Diceros bicornis minor: one gene and its partners. The protein of the gene in region 1 interacts with the protein of each later gene in a pairwise test. Links are inferred from orthologs where the notes say so. Each region holds a gene or a part of one and is shown in the gene's direction. Other genes may lie near its edges.

Region 1 (8,062 bases):
CTACCCATCTCCCCCTAGTTCAAATTACCTTTAATAAGAAGCTGTAACTAAAGCTGGTTTTCCAGGAAAAACAAAATTATGAAAAGTACTTGGTGCATCCCAGGTGCTCACTCCATAGAAGATATCATTATTCCTAATTTGGGCAATGGAGTCACGTGCGGGGCTCTCCAAAGGCGGGACACTGAGCAGACAACCACGGATCTGCTCCCTCCAGTCTCAGCTAGCTGGGTGACACGACCTCTCAATCTTGCCTGCGGCTTGGGGCTTCTGAACTATCAGAGGTAGAGTTACAAGATGAAAACCGCCAGGGATTAGCAGGAAGGGGCTGAAACCTCTCCCCCTTTACATTCCAACACCAATTCTCTGACACCAACTGGATGTCCTACAGTTCAATTTGATTCTGACACCAACCACCCTGAGTCGGCAGACCCCACAGGTTAAGGAATTCAGCCACAAGTCCTGGGTCTTGTCTCCAGGTTACCCACACCTCTGTCCAACTTAGCTACAAATTCGGAGGTTCCCACAACTCCCCTCATGTTCAATAATTCGCCAGAATGAAACACAGAACTCAGGAAAGTGCTATATTATGCTTACCGTTTTAATATAAAGGATACAAATAAACAGCTAGATGAGGAGAGGCAGAGGGCAGCAAGGTCTGAAAGGGTCCTGAGCCCAGGAGCTTCTGTCCCTGTGGAGTCAGGGGACACCACCCTCCTGTCACATCAATATGTTCACCAACCCGGAAGCTCTCCGAATCTCACAGTTCAGAGTTTTTATTGAGGTTTTATTACACAGGCACTGTTGATTAAATCACTGGCCGTGTGACTGAATGCAATCTCCAGCCCCTGAAGTGGGGGGTGGGGCTGAAAGTTGGCTGGTTTTTCTGGTGACCAGCCAGCATCCTGAAGCTGTCACTGGGCCCTCAGAGCTGGCAATGAGTCACCCTGTTAGCTAACCTCAGGTATGGGCCAGAGGAGCTCCTCAGGAAAAATGAAAGACACTCCTATCGCTTAGGAAATCCCAAGGGTTTCTGAAGCTCTGTGCCAGGATCTGCGGACAAAGACCAGACATATATTTTTTATTGTACCGCACCCTTGTATAAGATCAGGAGGCATCTGCATCTGATATCTGTGTGTAATTCTTGCGCCTGCAGCTCAGGAGATGCCCCGTTAAAACCAACGTGCCCTCTCATCTCATTGAATCAGCACAGTACCCTGCAGACTAGCGTTAATATTAGTCTTCTACAGACCAACTGAGGCATGGAGAGATTAAATGCCTTCCCTAGCTGCCAGCTGGAGGATGGCTGGCCCCATAGGACTGCAACTTGCCTCAAAAATGGGAAGTTGGCTCAGTGGTCCTCAGCCAGAGAGCAGCACGGTCTGCATTCCAACCCTGTTCTGTCCACAGAGGAGTCTTGCACCAGCAGACTATCCTGGCAGACTGTGAGACCTTGCCGTGGGTAGTTCAGCTTTTTGTGGCTCAGTTTTCTCATCTATAAATTAGAGAGAATACTCATCTCCAAAAGTTGTGTGGGTGAAATGAGCTACTACGTGTACAAGAACTCAGAACAGAGCCTGGAGCAGCCAACATCCGAACTCTCCAGCCATTAATTTGTCCTTGGAACAGTTACAAAAATTGATCATATATTTAACCACAAAGAAAATCGTACTTTTTTGAAAAAGTAGAGATTTTTAAGGCCATCTTCTGCAAAATCTAACAAAAATAGGAATTAATAATAAAAAGATGACCAAAATATTTTAACTTGGTGATTAAAAAATACTCCCACAAAATCCTGGATAAAAGAGATTAAACTGAAATGACTACAAAGCAGTGACAATGCCTGCCCCCTGAGACAGTCCCAGCTGCAGCCTTCACCATTATTAGTACGGAGGTGTCATTATTAGCATTAACAGTACATTTCTCTTCGTGCATTTGTCTTTCTCCTTTGCTAGACTACGATTCTCTGGAAGGCAGGAACCGAATTTCATTTACGGTGGTAGCCACCAAGCTGGTCTGCACTCAGTAGCTGCTCAAACATTGGATGACTCTTTTCTTCCTGCCTCCATAGAATTTGTCGTATTTACTGAATAAATTAATTTTTCCTTCAAACAGATGATTTAAACATTTTATATTTTTCCTTTCTTGTCTACAATATTAGCTTAATATTTGGTATATAAATAACACTTGCTCAGTGTAAAAAATTAGAATAAATAGAAATGGGCGGAAAAAAAGTAAAAATTATCTGAGATCCCCTTACCATCGGAAATTTGGTGATTGTCCTGTCAATGCATTTCTTTATATCTATACAGTTATATATAATGTTGTTATAAATGGGACCATGTCACACATTTTTAAAAAGTATGAGGCACTTTTTTTTTTTTTTTTTTTGGTAAGGAAGATTGGCCCTGAGCTAACATCTGTGTCAATCTTCTACTTTATACGGGACACTGCCACAGCATGGCTTGACGAGCAGTGTGTATGTCTGTGCCCGGGATCTGAACCCACAAACCCTGAGCCATGGAAGCGGAGCGTGTGAACTTAACCACTACACCACCAGGTAGGCCCCTGAAGCACATTTATAAAATATGTTGGGCTCCTAAACTGTATTGGATAACGTCCAGGCACCCGTTTCCCTCTGCAATGTCTTCACTGATAATGTGCCATGTATCCTTCCACAGCTTTCTCTGCACTCACATAATCCTACGCAAACAAGCATGCACATATATGGGCTTTGTTTCTTCTACAAAAACAAGATCATGTAATACATATTTCTCTGCTTCTTTTCTCATTTAATAATAATACAGCACAGAAGTCCCTCTAGGTCAGTTAGTATGGATTAACTCCTTTTCAAGGTGCCTAATAAGCCAGGTTATGGATATTCCAGTTTGTTTGACCATTCACATATCAATGGAAATTCACTGTTTCCAGGTTTTTGCCATTACAAAGCTGCAGTAAATGCAGGAGACAACCTTGAACACGTTATATTATATAACCACACGCCTTGCCTTAGGGCAGAGTCCCACGAGTGGGACTGCTACATTGAAAAGGTTTTTTTATTTTTCCTGAAAGGGGTACAATTTTAATAGAAACAGAATGCTTTCCAAAAATGTTCACAGTAGTCAGTGTGAGTGCATTTGTTTTTTGCGATTTTGATGGTTATATAGAGTCCTCATTATCACCTAATTTTCCATTTCCCTTCTTGGGGGGTTGGTATCCTTTCATATTTTTTGGCTATTTGCATTTGCTCTTCCGAGACTCGCCTATTCATAGCCTTTGCTCATTTCCTATTGTTTTTGTCTTTTTTCTAATTAGTTTTTAAGACTTCTTTGCATATTATAGATATTAGCTCTTTATTGTACATGTGGCAAGCATATTTCCCTGATATATTACTGTCCGTTGGCTTTTATCACAGTTTTAGTTTCTTTGGTAATCAAGTATATCTCTTCCTTATAGTTTGGATTTCCTGTGTTGGGGTTCAGGACAGGCCACCCCAAAATATACCACTTTGGCATATTGATTATTTTGAATTGTTACTTAAGAGGCAGCCAGTGCCAAGAAGGACATGCTGACCTTCCTTTGCCCCCTGAAAGTAGGAAATAAATCTCCCATGTGAAATGTACCCTCCCTGTACCAGGAGGTAGAGAGACATCCTTATCACTAGAGATAGAGAATTAAGGGCAGAGAAGGCTATATAAACAAACCTTGTTACTTCTTTACTAATTTACTACCCCAAGCCCAGACTTCTTTGTCTTGTTAATTCTTCACAGATTTACTGTTTCTTTGTCTAAAAGGTATAACAGCTGTGCACTTTGGACACTTCTTTGGGTATCATATTCTCCCACCTTACATAATTATAATTGTTTTTCTCCTGTTAATGTGTCCTGTTAACTTGATCAGATCAGCCAGACAACCAAGAAGGGTAGAAGAAAAATTTTTCCTTCCCTACACTTGTCTTCATAAAGTCTCTACCCCTAGATGACCCCGATAGTCTCCTAAATTGTATTCCACGTCTGTTTTATTTAGATTTAGGACTGTTACCATTTACCAACTGAATCTTTTCCTTACTGAACTGAAACACCATCTTTGTGGTATTCCTACATATATACGGGGAATCTATTTCCGTCCTCTATTCAGTTGTGCTAATCTTTCCTGCATCACATTGTTTGTTTACTGCGTCTTTTATTCTGCATTATCCAGAAAGGCAAGCTCCTCCTCAACTGTGTGTACAAGTTTCTCCACGACTTTCATAGTTATTATTTTATATGATTTTGAGATGATTTAACCTCAACCTCGATAAGATTTTAATGGAAATACATTGTGAACTAATCTTGGAATTGACACTTTATATTGTTTTCCGCCTAAGATTACGCGTTCTTCCATCGGCTCAGATATCGTTTTTAATCCTTCAATAAGACTATAGGTTTTTTCCTTCAGTTCTTATCCTTTTCAAAGAAAACAGGAAGTCCCTTTTACCTGCGGCGTCAACGGACCCGCTTCACGGGCGCGCGCCAGCCCCTCCCCCCTCGCCGGTTCCGGGTTACCATGGCAATCGAGGATTGACGTCACTTGGCGCTTCCGTGCCGGACCGGGGGTCGACCGTGAAGCTAGGGGCGGAGAGGCGGTGCTGACCCAACTACGCATGCGCGCTCCGACTCGACTCCTCCCCCGCCCTAAATCTCGTTCGGCCAGGGCTTTTCCGCCGCGACCTCTCGCTTAATCCCAGCGAAAGTGCTCCCCGGGGGAGGGGTGTAGAAAAAGGATCCAACCAGCGACAGCCAATCCCATGACACTACGACGCAACTGAGCATGGTTGACTCTATCCACTGCAGCCAATGAGAGCGCGCTTGGTCCCGACGTCACAGAGTTTGCCCGCCCTCTCCCCTCCTTTCTGGCCTCCGAGCTTAGTCCGCGCAGTAACAAATGAAGTGCGCGCTGCGACACCTCCCCGCTGGCCGGGCTCGGCCGCCATTTCCTCGCCTGGCCTAACGGTCCGGCCAATCCCAGGGTGCAGCGAGGAGGACTAAGGCTCCGCCAATCGGAGGGCGCCGACTCCGACCCCCTCGCCTCGGCCCGGCCCAATCCAGGCCCCGGCCCCGCCGCCCCCGGCCCGCCCCCGCGGCGCCCTCTCTCCTCCCTCTTTGTGCGTCTCGCGCCGCCGCCGCCGCCCGCCGCGTGAGAGGACGGACTCCGCGCGCTCCGCGGCAGCGCAGTCGGGTCTCCTCCCCCCGGAAGATTCGCGAAGGAGCCGCCGAGAAGGAGCCGCCGGTGCCGGTCCCTGGGGGCGCCATGGCGACCGGAGCGAACGCCACGCCGCTGGGTAAGCTGGGCCCCCCCGGCCTCCCTCCCGTCCCCGCGCCCCAAGGGGGCTTCGAGCCGGGGCCCCCGCCTGCCCCCGGGCCTGGGGCGGGGCTGCTGGTGCCCGGGCCGCCGCCGCGCCGGCCCGTGGGCTCGGCGGGGGCCCTGACCGCGGCCTTCCCCTTCGCGGCACTGCCGCCGCCGCCGCCCCCCCCGCCGCCCCAGCAGCCGCCGCCGCCGCCTTCCCCGGGCTCCGCGTACCCGCCGCCGCTCTACCAGCGCGTGTCGCCGCCGCAGCCGCCGCGTCAGAACCAGCAGCCGGGCCCGGCCGGCGGCGGAGGAGGTGAGTCGGGCCGAGAGAGCGCGAGAGGCGTCGCGCGGACGGGCCCGGCCGGCTGAGGGGCGCGCGCGGCGGCGGCGGCGACGGCGGCGGCTGCTGTTGCACGCGGCAGGGGCGCGCGCGCGCACGCACGGGGAGGCCCGGGCGGAGGCGCCACGGGGCGCGCGGCCTGGGGCTCGGGCCACGAGTGCGCACGCGCTCGGGAGGAGGGGGCACAGGGCGGGCGGACGTTTGCTGTGCGCATGCGCAATGTGGCTGCTTAGGCTTTGCGGGCCCGACTAAAAGCGGCGGCGGCGGGGGGGGGACGGGCCTTGTTGCTCTCCAGCCGCTGGTGTAGGGGAGCGGTGTGGAGAGGGTCGAGTGGGTGGACGGGGTGCTGGGGGTGCATGTCAGCAGGGAGTGAAAGGGTCAAGTGATGACGTGGAACATCTCCTTTCTGGCTGTAGAGGAGGCAGAAAAGAAGGAAAGTGTTAAAAATAGTCCGTCTTTTACAGTAAGGCAGGGATTTCAGTGCGGAGAACGAGAGAGGATGGAAGTCTTCAGGGAGTGGTTGGTCCGATCTTTTGTGGCCGTTTTTTAGGGAGGGACTCCTGTGTTTCGTTCTGATCTCCTTTCATTTCCCTTAGACAAGTCTGGTCCGCCTCCTCCTCGTAGTTGCTGGGGCTTTCCTCTCGGGAAGTAGAACGACTTTTGTGCACCAGATGTGTAGGGAGTTTCTGCCTATGTATGGGGGAAGGAGGATTTTGTTACTATTGCATCGCTTGTTCCCTGTTGAACGAGGAGTTCAGACACAAAGTTTCCAAACTGGCCAGGAAAATTGCTTATCTGCGCTAAACTTAAGAAAATAAGTGATGTTATTGAAGAGTGGGGCTTTTTCACTTAGTAACCGTAGGTTTAGTTGTGTTGTGGCCCATTTAGAAAGGTTGCTGGTGGGGAGGTGGAGGTGGGAGGAGCCAGCAGTCTGCCGATGTTGCTTTACGAACTTGCCTGTGGTGATTCAATCTACTCTTGTCTCCCCTGGGGCTTTTAAGGCATGATGTAGCGTATGTCTTCGAAACATTTTATTTCACTATCGGAAATTATGCGATAAGATTTGTTTACATACTTTACAGCGTTTTTCTGGACAAAAATTATAAATGTGAAATGTTAACCTTTTGGACCCAGGTCCAGGTCTGCTTATAGTGGTGTGTGTCTCAGGTTTGACTTGTGTACTTTGCCATTTAAGTTTTAGGTCAAGTTCTCAGTTTCAGAGCCTGCTGAACTTGTAACGTTATAAGTATCCTGAACTACGTGTTGGTAGTTACTGTGTTGATTTATGTTTGTGTCTCATGGTCTGTATCTCCCTTTAGACTTCCCGAGTAAGAAGCGGAAGAGGAGCCGCTGGAACCAGGACACAATGGAACAAAAGACAGTGATTCCAGGAATGCCTACAGTTATCCCCCCTGGACTTACTCGGGAACAAGAAAGAGCTTATATAGGTAAATACACGTTCTGCATCCAGATGCATTTTCGGGTTGTTACTGTTTATTCTGAGCAGTGTTTTTATCTGTTGCAAGCCTGAGATTGTGAAGTTTTCTTTTTTGAGATGAGGTGTGGTCAGGTGTACTTTCTTTGACATAATTCGTCAGTTTTTGCTCAGTGAGTCCTGCACTTGCAGCTCCTTGTTTGGTCTGTTCATAACAGCAGTGTTCTCCATGAGTGCCAGGAAGGTAGAGGGGCCCATTTAGGGTAACACTAGTCCCCAGTCCACAGCCCACCCCATCCTTTTCAGCTGCTGCTCACTGCCAGTTGATGAGGTGAGTGTCTTATGCCTCTCTGGACATGGCCCCAGTGGAGAACACTGCAAGTATTGTAAACCAAGAACCTTTTTCACAGCATGGCCTCTCACCATAATTTCATATTTCTCCCTCCCCCTAAAACGTGATTTTTTACTTTTTATAGGTACTTTCTGAAGGGAAAAAAAAAACCTCAGTTTAATCAAAAAGTGGTTCTGAAAGTGTGTTTACAGTTCACCCCCTTTTACCATTTGGTTGAATCTAACCTTCCCTTCAGCATCTTTTCTGTTTTGGTCTTTGGAGAGCTGTCTTAAAATGAGGGCTCTTGTATTTACTATTAAAGAACTCTGCTGGGAAATGGATACTGCTTGGAAATGGAATGAAGTGGTAGGATAAAAATCTTAACTGTTGGGAAATTTCAGGAATTAAGAATGGCTGTCCACAGTGGAATCCGAAGTTAACCTTAAAATTACCTTTTTTTAAAATACAAGGTTTTTAATGTAAGTTTTACCTTTATTTACGTACCTGTGCAGCTGTCTCAAAAATTCACTTGATAAGCATTTCCTACTAACCAAGTAAACGTCCCCTTTGGGGTAAATTAGGGCAAAGGCCTCTGAGGCTGTGGCCTTCACGGATAAAAAGCTTCAAGGCC
Region 2 (8,063 bases), on another chromosome or scaffold:
AATGTATACAAAAGCAAAAGTCCCTCCTTTTGACTCTGCCTTCCTTCTACCCAGTTACAATCTGAACCACCCCCAGATCAGAGGGGGTGTGTGTGTGTGTGTGTGTGTGTGTGTGCGCGCATGTGTGTAGGTTTGCTGTCCTTGTTTGGCACAGTCCTTCCTCAGAGATAGCCCTAAGGCTAGTTGGTTTTCCTCCAAGTATATGCAAACTATATTTCGCCTCTGTGATCAAAATTATGTAAATACTACAGCTTTCCTTCTCATTATATAATATCTTAGAGACACCAGTTGCTGTTTAATTGACCTATCGATGTTTTCACTGTCTTTGTCCTTATATTCTGATTTTTGGTGCCAGCCTGTTTTTCTTCACATTATTAAGTCTCTGGGTTTCTAAAGTACAATTCACTGTAACATAATTATATACTTTGCGGTCAGTTCTCCTCCTTTCCATTCTATTCATCAGCAGGATATTGCCGACTTTCCTCTCTGACTCTCCACTCAGCTCCATATCTAATAAATACCCCTGTATCTGTCTGAAGAACACAGAGGAATCTATTAAAAAACACGAACCCACCCCTCTAACTCTTGCTCAAGGAATTTGGTCTCAATTTTAGTGTATACCTACTCCCTCCCCTCCAGCCTATGAAGGCTTTTTCCTCTTTATGTTTGTCAAAAGCAACCCCAATCACCTGTTCTTCAGGAAAGAAGAAAGACTTGTTTGTGTTCCCCAGCAGGAACCAGGAATCTAAAGAAAATTACATCCCTGTGCCTTTCAATCTACTGAAATATCTCGGAATTTTCTCTTTGGACGGAGAACCAGTTACCTCATATGTGGCTACGTCCCCACAGACAATCTCTCTTCTCAACTGGCATCCATCTTGAAGTGGAACTCAGTACTCCATGGCATCTTAATGGCACCTCCATTAAACAAACACCCTCTACTAAGCACTAATGAGCATTACTGCTTTTATTGAAGGTAAAATCATTACCTTATTGGCTCCTCCCCCACATCCCCCATGCAAAGCTTTTTGACTTTATTTGGCTTCTCGGATTTTGCACTCCCATACCCATCATTTAATACTGTCTTTAAATTTATTTATATGCAACAGACCAAAGAGCCTTCAGCTACTATGATCCCTTGACTTAGAAGTCTGCTAAAGAATTATAACAATTTTTTCATCACCAAAAATATTTTTCTTGTCCCGCCCTAATTAGAAAGGTCCATTTGCTGAGGCAAAGGGCAGGGTGGATTTATCCTGTGTTCCAAAAAATAAGTGCCAAGCATTTGTGTATGTGAGTGTAGTATTTGTCACACCTTGTTAATTATAAACCCCCTCTTCTCATTTAGAGTCTTTAACATGCATTAACACTGTTAATCTCTAGGACTGTGAGTCATTCTGTCTCTTTAATAAATTCTGTTTCATCCCTAGTGAGCTGACTGTGTAGTCTGAACTCTTTTCTTCCTCAGCTTGCTTGTGTGCCGTGTGTTGAGGGGAGGAAGTGAACAGCTGCCCCCATTATCTAAAAAGAGATCAGAAAGAATATCGTTTTCCTTGGGTTAATCAAGTGATTAATGCCTCTAAGTGCCAGAGTACAGGAGATCACTTCCCTAAGGTTCCAAGGCAGGGAGGAGGCAGAAGTGGACCTTGAGTTTTTCTATTTGCATGCACTGAGAGGGATTAACAAAAATCACAGAAATTGTGGGGGGGGGGAAGTGGGTGAAGAATAGAGAATAGAGATTTGCCAAAGCAGGAGGGTGGTAAGAGGTTGGGGCCAGAATTTGGAAGGCCTTAAATGTCAGACTGTGGAGCTACAGTTTGGTCTTTAGGTCACGGGAGCCACAGAAAGTTTTTAAGCAAGAGACACAGAATAGCAAAATTGAAAAACACTCAGTGAGGGTGGGATTCTTCTATGTCTCTCTAATACAGAAGTCACTAACACACACATTCAGAGTCAATAACTAACACTCTGGGCCTGAATGTCTACCTGGCAACAACTGGCTGGACAATGAGGCACCCACTTGAGAAGGAGCATGGCTCTCCAGCGCCCTCAGGCCCTACTTGGTCTGGGTTCACCTTTTAAAATTAGTGGTCTTCAAATATTCCCCCCTAAGAAAATTCTGAAAACATATTTTAGGTTCTGGATGTACCACAGTTTATCCATTCACCTATTGAAGGACATCTTGGTTGCTTCCAAGTTTGGGCAATTATGAATAAAACTGCTACAAACATTCTTGTGCAGGTTTTTGTGTGGAAATAAGTTGTCAAATCTTTTGGGAAATCTCAAGGAGTGTGATTGCTGGATTGCATAGTACGGTAAGGTATGGTTAGATTTTCCAAAAAAAGGATGAATTGAGCAAAGTATATTTTCATTTTCACCAACGGTCTTGGCTGTTACTAATGAAATTCCTAGGTTCTCCAACCTCCCTAATGAAACTGTTTCTCTGTGTTTAGAAAAAATGTAATAAGCTTCAACCATCTTCAGCAGGAAAACAGAGATTAGATCAAGAATGAGAATGCATACTATGGATTTACTTTATAATCAGAAACTTGTCTGCCAGAGGAAGACTCAAAGTTCCCTTTTTCTGGAAGGCAGGATTAATCAAATAATGACAACTATATAATTACATACTGTGAAAAGCTTTATGAAGACAAAGGAGCTATGAGTTGCTGTAAGACAGGGACATGATCTAGTAGCAAAATATGAATTATTTCCCCCTGGCAAAATGTAGGGAGGGTTTCAGTGGACTTACCTTACTTTATAAATTATTTATTGTTATATAGAGAGCCTCAGATTTAATTACTTAGCATATATGATAAATAGGCAAACCAGTCCAAATAACTCCCTCAGTTCCTGTACAGTCTAAAACACAGTAGGAGCTTAATTGTTGGCCAACTCCTACAAGATTCATCCTTGACACTTCTTTCTTTCCTATCCCACCCATCAGCAAATCATTGGCTCAATTTTCAATCAGACCATTTCTCCTTTACTGGTTGCTGTTAACCCAAACCAAGCCCCATCATCTCTTGCCTGGATTACTGCACTAGCCTCCCAATTAATCTGCCTGCTTCTGCCCTAGCTCACTCTCAATTTAATTCTCCACACTGTAGTCGTAGAGGTCCTTTTATTATGTCAGTCTGCTTAAAACCTTCTAGAGATTTCCAATTTACTGAAAGGAAAATACAAAGTCCTTACATTGGCCTACAAGCCCTTCTTATTTCTGGCCTTCTCCCATCTTTCCTCCTACCTCTACTCCAGCCACATTCTGCCACAGGGCCTTTGCACTTGCTCTTTCCGCTATGTAAACAAGGCTAGCTCCTTCACTTGAGGTCTCTGCTCAGATGTCACTTGATCAGGGAGGCCTTCCTATGACACCCTGTTTAACACTATGTAACAGGCATACTTCCCTCCCACGCAGGCACACATACACTCTCTGTCCCTTTTCTCTGCTTTACTTTTCTTTCTTTTTATCTTAGTTAGCAACTGCCTAACATAAACATTTATTGTCTATCTCCCCCACTAGAGCGTAAACTCCACGAGTGCAGGAACTCATTTGTTCACTGCTGTGCCCCAGTTCCCAGCCCACTGCTCCATCCCTTAGGCCGTCAACACTTGTCCAATGAATCCCACGGCCCATCTGCCTCTTTCGGCCCAAGAGACATCTGAACAGCCTGTCCTGAAGCTCTACTCCCTATGCTACTTTTGCAGTAATTTGGGAAACAGAACAGAGCGGAAGACACCACTTGGCCCCCACGACGAGGGGCCTCAAGTGTCCCCCCTTCTATCCATCTGTAGAAATAAATAAAAGAGATGTCAAACGAGCGCTCTCCAAGGGCCCTCGCGGCTCGAGGATTCCGTGAGGCCACCTAGCCACGCCTGTGGGACTTCACAGTGCAGTGGGAGGGGAAGCAGCAGGCGCGGAGAAGAGCCAGCTTCGACGAACTGAGAGAGAACGCGGCCTAGCCTGCTCACAAACACGTCCTCAGGCCTTCACCTTTTCTGAGGCCCACCGCTTGGACGCCTCCGCTTCGGGAGAGCGCTAAGGGCCTCCACGGGCCTCCTGAGGCAGCGCCGGCTAATGGCGGCCAAAGGACCGCGGCGGCCACCGTAAGTGGGGCTTCACCCACATTTTGGTTCTTTGTTAGCCAACTGTGCTCAGCCGAGGACAGGGTAAACATTCTGTTCAGAAAATGCACTTCTGTGTGAACCAACTGCAGCAAAGAGTGCTTTAACTCAGCGGGGACGTCGCCGCCTGACCAACTCCCGAAAGAACCGACATGGCGCATCCATCATGGCTGCCGGCGACAGCGCGCCGGGAGGCAACTGAAAGGAAATGGCGCCGGGCGCGCGGTCAGTTTCGGCAGGCCCAGGGCGGCGGGGCCGAAGAGCCGGCAAGGCCATGGAGGAGCGCCAGCCAGAGACCCTGAAGACCCTCCTGGACTTTCGGCACCTGGAGACCCTGAAACTTGACGACGGCAAGATGGACGACAGTTATTGTCTATGCAAACAAACTTGCACAAGCGGACCCGGATTCCGGCCCGCGGTCGGAACCCGGCAAAATCCTCTATTCTCCAAACAGAATGCGTTACGCACACTGCGCATCTTCGCAATAGTGGGCCGGCTAACGACGCAAAGAATGTTACGTCGCACCGGAGGCTCTTCACCGCCCCCCCACCCACCACCACGTTCTAGTTCAGGTGGCGCGAGAACTCTACGCTCGATCCGTACTTTGTTTTACTTCTGCCGGCCGCAAAATGCGCCCACCTCCGCAACTGACGTAAAATGCCTTCAAGAATACCCGTAGTACTCCGCGAAGCCCTCGGACTGTTCCGAGACGCTGTTTACGTATCGCCTCCGACGTACGTAGCGTTAAGCTGGAGCAGTCTCAGCGCCGGCCGCCATTTTGTGCAGTCGCTGGGAGGGAAGGAGACGCCTAAACCGCGGCAGTGCCGGGTTTGAGCGTAGCCAAACCTAGCCACTGTTTTTATAACCCCGATTCTCTGTGTTTTGCTCCCGTCTCCGACGAGAGAGGCGGCGACGGTGGCGTCTGCGACGGGAGACAGCGCGTCGGAGCGAGAGAGCGCCGCGCCTGCCGCCGCCCCAACAGCGGAGGCGCCGCCGCCATCGGTCGTCACCAGACCGGAGCCGCAGGCCCTCCCGAGCCCGGCCATCCGTGCCCCGCTCCCAGATCTCTATCCATTTGGGACCATGCGCGGAGGCGGCTTTGGGGACCGGGACCGGGATCGTGACCGTGGAGGGTAAGGGGGGAGGAGAGGAGAGGCTCCGCGTGTGCGTGGGGCGCGGGGGGCTGCTTCCTGAGGAGACCGCAGCCTGCAGCCGAGCCGGAGGCTTTGAGCGCCTGCAGGCCTGGGAGCGACGCTCTCGACTCCGCAGGCGGGGCCACCCGAGGCATAATAGCGGGGTCGAGCGCGGGCCTCGGGGTGGGCCTGGGCCCCAGGGTCGCTGATGACCTGGCGGGGGGCGGCGGCTTGGCGACGCCCCGGCCCCTCCTTGCGGACGGCCGTCGTGGCGCGGCCCCGCGGGAGCGGGAGGGGGTGACCGCCGCACCCCCGGCCCGGCCCTTGCCTCGGTTCCGGCCGAGCCGCTTGATTCCCCAGGCCTCGGCGTTCATCTGGAGCACGGGGGTTCGCGGTGAGAGAAGAGCGTGGGGTCTCCGCGGTCGGCCTAGGCAATCTGAACGCGAAATGGCCTCCCTGGTGTTATCTGTCGCCCGAGATAGCTGTGCCTGGAATTGGAAACCTGGTTTGCAACTAGAGACCAGAAGGCTGACTTGTGGTTTTAAAAGTATTTTCTATCACTTTTAGTCGTATTTTAACAAATTAGAAGCAAGCATCTTGGAAAGTAAACAGTGAAATTATTTGCCATCTAAATTTGGGGAGAGGGGTTTTTTTGGTTTGGTCGTTAGTGTAGGTTGTTTTTTTTGTTTTTTTTTTTTAACCTTTCAGTCTTTTGTTTCCCTAATTGGACTGGAGCATTATCTTCTCAGCCTAACTAGAAAGTGTTTCGTTTAGTAATGCCGTGGTTACTGGGTTGGATGTTAACAGGATTAAAACTGAAGTTCTCTCAGATCCTGAGATTCAAATCTTAATGTCGGGTTAGACGAAAAAGTTGCTTAAGAGATCCATGTTGATTTGTGCTGTTACTTTTTTGTAATAAAAGTTGTATCTCTAGATAAAAAGTAATGTGATGCCGTTTGAATATATATGTAACCTCAGGCAAGATCCTGAACCTTTGTGTGCCTATTTTCTCATCTGAAGGTGGGGATAATAATTGCCCTTACTTTGCATTGTTGTGGGGAATTGAGATACGGTGTGTAATTGTCTTTCTGTAGTAGGTGTTCTTTAATATTTTCTCCAAACATTTTTGGTTTTGGGGGTTCAGATACACAAGTACCAGACCTTGTAGTCACAGGCACCTCACCTTCACTTAATTTAAAAAATAAAAAAGATTGTTTTGAATTATACCTTGTTAGGAAGGAAAATGTTTGATCTTAATGTTAAATTTGGAGGGCTAGAAGTGGAATGTTTGCTTAGTGTTTCACAGTAATAGCTAAGTTTAGAAGTGAATTTCAGTATAAACGCTTAGGAAAAAGAACTTAACATTATCTGATAGAGGTGAAAATGACCCAGTAATTCCTCTCTCAAGCTTTGTACTCTAGACTGTAAGGCCTAGAGAAACCCATGTACACGTGCTCCGATGTCTGTGTGCAAAATAATGTTTATACCCCATTGTTCATGATAGAATATTGGTAACAGCTTAAATGTCTGGACAAATTGTGGATATTTGTACAGTAGAATACAATACAGCGGTGAAAAAGAAAAAAAACTTGTATCAGTGTGGGTGACTCACAAACATAATATTGAGCAAAACAAGTTGTGGTAGAAGCATAACGTGTATAAGGATACCTACAAATATGACAAGACTATGAGAAGCAAGGGAATGGTTAAAATTTCAAGATAGTTATGGTGGGGGTTGTAAATGGAATAGGCACATGGAGGCTACCAGGGTACTGGTAATGTTCTGTGTCTTTAACCATAGGTGTTTGGTTCATTTCACTGTATGTATACTTTAATAATAAAAATAAATTAGAAAAGGGGAAAAAGTGAATTACTGATCCATAGTTTGTCCCATATTGATTCTTTGAGTATCAAATGATGTTTAAAAAAAAAAAAGCTTTAAAAATAATTCATTTCAAACAAAGTGGCACTCTTTCATAAGGTCTGTGCTCTAACTACCTTTATCATGAAATTTCCTTTATGGTTTGAGTTGCTGTTGTTTCATTCTTAACTGAATGTTCTTAAGTGAAGTGGACTATTATTTTGAAAAGAGAATGAGTGAGGTCACTATATGTACACTTACAGTCCAAAAATGGTGTGCATTGTACCTTTAAACTAGCGTGATTTTGCATGTTAATATATAAATCTTCAAAGTTGCATTTTATTTTTTTATTGAAATATAATTGACATTAGTTTCAGGTGTATAATATTATGATTGAATATTTGTATACATTGAGAAGCGATCGCCACAGTAACTGTAGTTACCATTCGTTACTATACAAAGTTATAAAACTTTTTTCTTGTGAAGAGAACTTTTAAAATCTACTCAGCTTTTTCGAATATACAATACGATATTATTGACTGTAGTCACCATGCTGTACATTACATCCCCATGACTTATTTCAAAGCTGCATTTATGGCATAGTCAAACTTAATTCTTGATAAAAACAGTTAATGAGCAGCATAGTGTGCCAGGGATTAGGATATGTGCATCTTTAAAGGATGGCACAGATGTGCTCAAAAATTCTACAAGAGTAAAAGGCTCTCTTGAATATTGAAGGCAGCATTAATCGTAAAGGTAGAAGACAGCATATTTATAAAGACCCCCATGTTTCAAATTATATCTTTATAATAGAGTAGGAAGATATGTCTTGGACAGTTAGCCAAGACAATAGAGAGAAAGGAAAAACATTTTTTTTCTTTTAAATAGAGGCTTTGAATAAGCCTTAAAAGGAACCTTACTTTAAGAAGTTTAATTCGTTTACG
Region 3 (7,967 bases), on another chromosome or scaffold:
ATTTACTTTTGCCCTTAACTTTATTTAACGTGCACTCTTCCCTTTGTCGTTAAAATTTTTTTTTCCCAGCTTTATTGAGATATTTCCCTTGTCACTTTAAATGGTTGTCTATATAGTCTATATACTTGTCATGTTAATTGGTTGATTGGTTGATTACGGAAACCTTACCCTGTGAGAAGCTCCAGGTGAACCAGCTCAGGGCCACGGAGATGAGCCAGACCACCTTGGTCCTTGTCCTTGAGGGCAGTAAACAGATAGTGAACACAGAGTGTGAGCAGGCTATGGGAGTGAGTGGGCTCCTAACCTAACCGGGGTCAGGAGAGGTTTCCTGATGTCCGAATTAGGTCTTAAAGGGTACGCAGGATGCAATCTTATTCCTTTAATATTGGCTATTAGAATTAAATATTAGGATGGGCATTTGATACCCATCTATTGGACGTTAGTGTGTTTTGTTAGTTTTCTAGCACTCTGTCAAGCTGGCACACAGGTTTATATAACACACTTTGTCACAAATGGCAGTAACTTCCATTTTCCCAGGTTTGGGTCATTTACAAAACATTTTCACACTCCTTGCCTCATTTGCTGTCACAAAAATCTCTTTGAGAATGCTTTGTTTATATTCATGAGTATTTCTCTTGTTTTATATCTTAGCTAAATTAAAAAATTATACTTTAGGGTCGGCCCCGTGGCTTAGCGGTTAAGTGCGTGTGCTCCGCTACTGGCGACCCGGGTTCGGATCCCGGGCGCACACCGACGCACCGCCTCTCCGGCCATGCTGAGGCCGCGTCCCACATACAGCAACTAGAAGGATGTGCAGCTATGACATACAACTACCTACTGGGGCTTTGGGGGGAAATAAATAAATAAATAAAATTATAAAAAAAAAATTATACTTTAATTTTCCAACAAGATGATTACAAAAGTTTAAAAATTAAATTAGATAACTTTGGAACATACAATCATTCAAATTGCACTAACTGAGAATTAAACCAGGGTCTGGTTTCTGACCCTAACTTGGCCAACTCTTCCTCTCTCTGGGTCTCAACTTCCTCTGTGATAAAATGCGCATGTGAAGGCAGTGTAGGCTGAAGGATTAAATGAGATAATGGATCTTAGACACCAGCACAGCACCTGGCTCATTAAAGATTGGTTCTCCTAACATGGTCTCTAATGTCCATTTTCCTGTAATTCTAAAGCAATTCTTAAAGTAATACTCCAGCCCACACATGTGTCCCAAGGCTCCTAAAGAGAAACTCTGAGAGAGAGAGCTCAAGGCCAGCTCATTAACATAGCTAGGACAAAAGCATTTCACAGTCCAAGTTAATCAGATAGTAACAGGCAAAGGATAGTGTTTTGACACTGTCATTTCCACCCCGAGCTTGTTTTGGTTGGGTTGCAGAAAAAAAATTGGTTGTGGTAGAAATAATCAACACAAAATAAAACTGACAATGGCTAAAACTACACATGGTAAAAATATATTATGGATGGAAAAGCAAACTGAATGATCCCATCTTTGTTGGTAAACATTGAACATTGCAAAGTTGACCCCCCGGAAAATTCCACTTGGTAGAAGTAATCAACACAAAATAAAACTGACAATGGCTCAAAATGCTCCCAGGAAAAGGTAGACTTGATGGAAATAATGACTAGAAATTTCATAACAGCTGAAGCAATAATCAGTAAACATTGATAAAGATAAAAGGTAACTGATAAATTAAATCTTTCTTGGAAAATTGATAGACAAAAGAATATATCTTGAGGAAAATTCAATATAGAAAAAAATCTAGAAAAGTTAGAAATTGTTTAACTGTGTTATATAGAAAATTTATCAAGGAACTGAATTGACGTAATGGAGTTAATTCCTTAAATACTTTAATAAATTCATTAGTAATAATATAACTCTGAGTAAAAAGTTTACATGCCAAGATTTGGCAGGGATTTGGAGAAAGAATTCTCACATTAGATGAAGGGTTTGGACTGTAAGTGACACTTTACAGTCTTCACAGCACTTTCATACCCATAGTTTTATTGGATTCTCCTAATAACCTTATGAGGTGACAGGTTAGGAATTATTCCTTCCATTTTACAGATATAAACACTGAGGTTCAGAAAAGTTAAGGGACTTACTAAAAGTCACCCAGCATGTTCAAGGCAAGGTCTAACTTAGGATCTGATTTCCAGATTCCTAGCCTGGTAAGCTTCCTCATACTTATTCCCCTAGCTCAGATAATGCTTTACTTGCTGGACAGACCAGACCCCTTCTAATTTTGACCACCCAGCCCCCACTTTCTGCCAGTAGAAGTGAGGAAAAGGAGGAGGAGAAGGAGGGGAGAGGGTTAGAAGAAGGGATGGCCAATGCAACACTCAGAGAGGGGAAAGGACACAGCCAACATGTCATAGGCACTTTTCTTACTATTCTCAGAAACGGGGGCAAAAGGGCTAGGATTTTTTCTGTGGGGGGGAGGTGCTGGGATTTTAAGGCTGGGAGAATAGGATGAAAAACAAGATAGGCAGTTTGAAAAAGACAGTGCCTGATGTATTTGGGGAAAGTGAGTCAACGGCTAAGCGTGTTACTAGATTTAGGTGGGGTGAAGCTGAAGTGATTGGCTGCAGCAGGACTGTCTACCAACTTAACCTCTGATCCAGGCAACCTGGGCTTTCTCCAGTAGGCCTGCAGTTCTCCAGTGGGCTGGCTAATGGAGCTGGCATGTTCTGGTGTTTCTTGCAGAACACCAAGAAATAATGACATGTAGGGCCGGCCCCGTGGCTTAGTGGTTAAGTCCGCGCGCTCGCTGCTGGCGACCCGGGTTCGGATCCCGGGCGCGCACCGTTGCACCACTTCTCCGGCCATGCTGAGGCCGTGTCCCACGTACAGCAACTAGAAGGATGTGCAGCTATGACATACAACTATCTACTAGGGCTTTGGGGGGAAAAAAAAGGATTTAAAAAAAAGAAATAATGACATAAAATCTAAATACTGTAACTGAATACAGGATTTATGCTAAATCAGAGATCATCTAATACTATATTCCATATTCTAGGAGAGCTGGACACAAAAGAAGGAAAAAAATCTTTTAAGCGTAAGACTTATTTATTCAGTCTATAGACAATGCTTTGTTTAAGTAGACCTTTGTAGACCTTTCACAATAACTTTGTTCCTTCCTGTTCACTCCCCTTCCCCAAAGTGATCTCTGGCCCACAGATTAGAAACCATTGCTCTAAGAATTTAGATATAAGGAAAATCAGTGTGCTTAAAATATGTTCTAGGGAAGGTAGGACTTTGGTTTGAGTTTCAAGAATGAGTAGGAGAAAAGGAGGAATCAGGTGTGGAAAGATCAGAACAAGGAAAAATTTGAGAAGAGACAACGAAAATTGAGAAAATCTTCCCTACTAACTTAATGTTCTTTCATGAATTGTAAGTGACCATCATTATTTGTTTTAATAGGGGAACTGTTGAGCTCACAGAAAAATCAGAAGGGCTTAGTCCTGGAGCATCACCAAGGGCAACAGGAAGCCACAGAGAGCTTTTAGGCAGCAGAAAGGTTGTTGGATTTGGATATTTTATATATACATATATATATATTATATATATATATTTTTTTTTGAGGAAGCACTAACATCTGCTGCCAATCTTCCTCTTTTTGTTTTTTTTTTCTTTTTTCTCCCTGAAGCCCCAGTACATAGTTGTGTTTCATAGTTGTAGAGCTGTGGCTCTTCTATATGGGACGCCACCTCTGCATGGCTTGGTGAGCTGTGAGCAGGTCCACGCCCAGGAGCCTCACTGGCGAACCCCTGGCTGCGGAAGCTGAACGCAGGAGCTCAACCACTACGCCACAGGGTCGGCCCCTGGAAATTATATTTTTTGAAAGTAGTCTTATAGCTTAAAAAATTATGTGCTTCCTTTAAACAATTCAGGCAATATGAAAATAAAAATTACTTGAAATCTGACACCCTTTACTCCAACATAATCACAGAGAATATTTTGAGGAAGCTCTTTTCTCAAATCTCTTTATGTTTATAGAATATTGTCTCAAACTTCACATAAATTGGACCGTTCTCAACGTGCTGTTCTGTAATCAATTTTTCCCCTCGAGAATAAATTGTGAATAGCTTTTCCTGTCAATAACTAGATCTCTATCATTATTTTAAACGGCTGCTTAGTATTGCATTGATTGAATATGTAATTTAACCAGCCCCCTATTGATGAAGATTTATGTTTTCCCCCCATAACAACAACCTCATATAACAACCTTAACAACCTCATATAACAACCTTGTGCATTCATCTTTTCCAAATTGTTTATCTTTTTAAGGTAAACTCTTAAAAATAACGGAACTGGGTCAAGAAGTATGCCCTTTTTACATTTGGATTCAAATTGCCAAATCGTCCTCAGATTTGCAGGGAGACCAGGAGGAAGCTGCTGCATTAGTTCTGGTGTGAGACAGTCGCAACGGGAATGGCGAAGACAGTACAGACTCACAGGTGATCTAGTCCATTTAGGCCTGTCCTCAGTGGGTTGGCATATTCCTTCCTTTTTTCCTCTCTTTCATTTCTTTTTCTTAACATGGAGGAAGAACTGAGAACTTCATCTCCCAGCATTTCGCGGGGACCGCACTCCCTGGGAACTGTAGTACCAGGTCTAAGAAGGGCCGGAAGGAGAGTGAGAGGCTATGGGGCATGCTGGGAAACGTAGTCCAGAGGGCTGCGACTATGTGGGTGTGCGTGTGGGTGTGCGTGCGCGCGCGCGCGTGTAAAGGTTGGAGACGCTGCGAACATCACCACTTGGGTATGGGGCCGCGGGGCGACCTAACTTCCCTCACAGGTGGTCTTTGAGTCTACAAAAGCAGCCTGCGGATGGTTGGCTTTCTTCCATTGTCCGCGACCAGGAAGGGCGCGGCCCCTGCGCACTGGGCGCGCGGCTAGAGGCGCAGGCCGCGCGCGGGCAGGAGCAGGGCATGCCGGGAGTTGTGGTCCCGGGGTGCTGAGGCTGTGGGACGTGTCGTGGCGCCGCGCCGGCTCCTCCTTCCCCTCCCTTCTCGGCGGTCCCCCGCCCCCTCCCTCCGTCTCCTCCTCCCTCACCCGCAGCCGAGCGCCCCCTCCCCCACCCGTCGGGCTCCTCGGCGGCTACTGCAGAGGATTCAGAGCCGAGTCGCTGAGAAGGAGGAGGCTCCCGGTCCCTGCGCGCCATCCGCCACCTTACTGGACACGGGCGAGGGAGCGAGAGCGTCGCCTCAGTAGCCTCCAGAGAAGACAAGGGCATCGCCGCCTCAGCCGCCGCCGCCGCCGTTTTCGCCTACAGCGGCTCGTCGGTGAGGAGACCCCCTCCCCGCCCCCCACCCCCGGTCCGCTCTCTCTGAGCCGGGGCGGGTGGTGCTGGGGAGAATGAGAGTGGGGGCTGCAGAGCCCCCACGCGGGTTGGCGGAAGGGGGTTGAGGTCGCGGTGGAACGGCGCGCTGGCAGGGGATACTTGTCCAGGCGCGGGCTGGGGGTGGGGTGAGGGTGGGACCCAAGCAGGTTTGGGGGGGGACAGGGGAAGGGGACTTTCAATGGGGAATGACCGGAGCTGGGACAGGAGCGTGGGGTTGGGGGGGTCGGGGTGGAATTTGGGATGGTTTTGTGTGAGATGGATGATGAGACTGGAGTGGGATGGCTTTTAATGGGGGAGGGGACTGAATGAGGGTGGTGGATTTGGGGTTGGCCTGGAGCAGTTGACAGCTTGGGATCCGAGCTGGACGCGCGGTAGAGGGGTGATTTCAATAGAGAGTGGGCTTGCGGGGTTGGTTAGGACCCTGGAGGGTGTTAATTCAGTCGGGTGGAATTTGGGGTGGACCCGGGGCGGGCTAATAGAGGTGGTAGGAGCTGGGGGTAAAGGGCTTGGCATGGGTTGAGACCTGAGCTTGAAGTGGGCGTTTGCCATTTGGTGGTGGTGGAATTTGTGGGGACTTATGGAATAGCGTGGGTTAGGAGAGCAAAGGAGGCAGAATTTGGGGTTTTCCTAGGGAGTGCTTATGGAGGTTGGAACAGGAGCTGGCAGGGGTGGGACTTTCAATGAGGGGAGCATGATGGTGAGCTGGCAGGAGGGGGGTAAATTAGAAGTTAGGCCCAAAATGGGCAGACAAGGATTGAAACTGGGGGAGAGGGCTCAGTGAGATGGGATTTAGAGTGATCGTAGAACCATGGGAAGGGGCATGGCACTCCCTGGATGCAGGGTCAAGGCAGAGGGCACAGAAGATGCCACTGCGCTGGACTCACTGAAAGACTAGTGGCAGGTGGTGAGAAAGGTTGGGGGATGGGATCTTGAAGCAAATGTTCCTTGGCTAAGGTGGCAGCGGGAGTTTTGGAGAAGGAATGTCTGAGATGAACTGGTGGGACTGGAGAGGTGGTTGCTAATGGTGAAGTGGCAGAGAGGCTATTTAAGGGGTGGGAGACATGGAGTTGTTGGTATGGATGGGGCAGAGAAGATGGAGAGGGACAGTGAGCAGTGCTGGGAAGAGGTGGATTGGATGATTCTGGAGAGGGTGGATTGGGGTGGCCTCCATGAGATACAAGAGGGTTGGAGGTTGGACTTAAATGGACAGCTCTGGAGGCTGTGGTTGGGGGAGGGGCGGTAACAGAGGGGACTGCAGGGGAGAGAAGGTACGTTGAAGATTCCTAGAGGACGTCTTTGGCTGTTAGTTTAATCTTTTTGTTTGTTTCATTTATATTAGTATCATATTCGGAAGTAAATCAAAGGGTAAAGGGTAAAGTTCAGAGTGGCTGCAGTTAAGGTAGAATTAAGGAGGGGAGGGTGTCTTCTTTCATTCGTATATCATAAAAAGAAAGTTTTTTTTTTAAACTTTCCCACTCCTAAACTAAAGGTGGGGAAGATGAAGCTGGAATGTGATAGATATCTTTCTCTGTGATGTCTCTAGCTTCTCCTTTCTGCCCTCTTGCTGGTGCATTTAAAAATTAGTTCTGGAATTTGGAGTTAAATAGATTTGATGAGCTTGAGGTAGTTAAGGGAGCATGCCTTGCTTGAGAACCGATGAATGAGACTGAAAAATATGAGGCTGAATTTATTTCCTAGTCAGGCAACGTGCATGTGTGCAGAAAGAGCTTAGGGCTTTTTTTTTTTCCTCCTCTTAAAATTGATTGCTTAAAGACTCCATTTATTGGTGTCCTGGTTTGCAAGGCAATTAGGCCCATCATTGTATTGCAGGCTAATAATCCTGAGATGAATCTTGGCACCATCGCTTTATGTAAACAGAGAGAAAACAGGAAATATGGAAATGTCATAAATATTCATTGGTGAGATGGTTTGGTATTGATGGAGTTTTTCATTTGATTCTCTTTGATAAGATTTAAAGTAATTGGACTGTATTTCTGTAGATTGAATTTTCTTTGAAAATAATTCAGGTGGTCAGAATTCTGTCAGATGTGGATAAATAAAGCATATAGAATCATTTTTTAATTTTTTTAGGGGATGATGTTGATGTAGGCACATTGCATTAACTACAGAAACAATATCTCCATCTATTCATCAGAAATTTTGTTTAAAGCTTATTGATATGCTCATTCTCATGGCAGAATGGTGATGCTGGAAGGTAGAGAGGGGTGTGAACAGAGGAAACATCTGTAGGGAAACAGTTTTCGAGACTCAATTAGATTAACTATGATATGTTAAACATGAAGTGGCTGTTGATTAGAGCTCAGACTGAGAAAAATTGGGGAGGGATATAAAGAGGATAACATTGGCACCAGTAGGATCAAAATAATTCTATTTTTGTTCAAGCTTCAGAGTTGAGCTCATAAACAAACCACTTTCCTTGGCTTTCACAGTTGAGCACATAAAAATACCCAATATTTAGAATTTTTTTTTTTTATAGTTCCCAAATGGGCAGAATGATGGAAGGTTGGACTTATCCTTGGAATTGAAAGTGTTTTGTTATGAGGAAGCTTTCTGTATTACAATAAAAATCAGGTTTGAG

Evidence for each region.
Region 2: the proteins of SF1 (region 1) and DDX17 interact in binary tests that used the Homo sapiens proteins (3 or more experiments, as listed by UniProt). The link is inferred for Diceros bicornis minor from reciprocal best matches to the Homo sapiens genes SF1 and DDX17.
Region 3: the proteins of SF1 (region 1) and FAM168A interact in binary tests that used the Homo sapiens proteins (3 or more experiments, as listed by UniProt). The two-hybrid records come from large-scale screens. The link is inferred for Diceros bicornis minor from reciprocal best matches to the Homo sapiens genes SF1 and FAM168A.

Annotation. Positions count from the first base shown.
Region 1 is NC_080770.1:8,309,243-8,317,304, forward strand, and holds the start of SF1 (splicing factor 1), read left to right. Parts: upstream 1-4,968; 5' UTR 4,969-5,286; coding exon 5,287-5,638; intron 5,639-6,984; coding exon 6,985-7,113; intron 7,114-8,062. UniProt on the Homo sapiens protein: Necessary for the ATP-dependent first step of spliceosome assembly. Binds to the intron branch point sequence (BPS) 5'-UACUAAC-3' of the pre-mRNA. May act as transcription repressor.
Region 2 is NC_080764.1:11,437,615-11,445,677, forward strand, and holds the start of DDX17 (probable ATP-dependent RNA helicase DDX17), read left to right. Parts: upstream 1-5,047; 5' UTR 5,048-5,208; coding exon 5,209-5,258; intron 5,259-8,063. UniProt on the Homo sapiens protein: As an RNA helicase, unwinds RNA and alters RNA structures through ATP binding and hydrolysis.
Region 3 is NC_080746.1:57,260,745-57,268,711, forward strand, and holds the start of FAM168A (protein FAM168A), read left to right. Parts: upstream 1-4,929; 5' UTR 4,930-5,309; intron 5,310-7,967.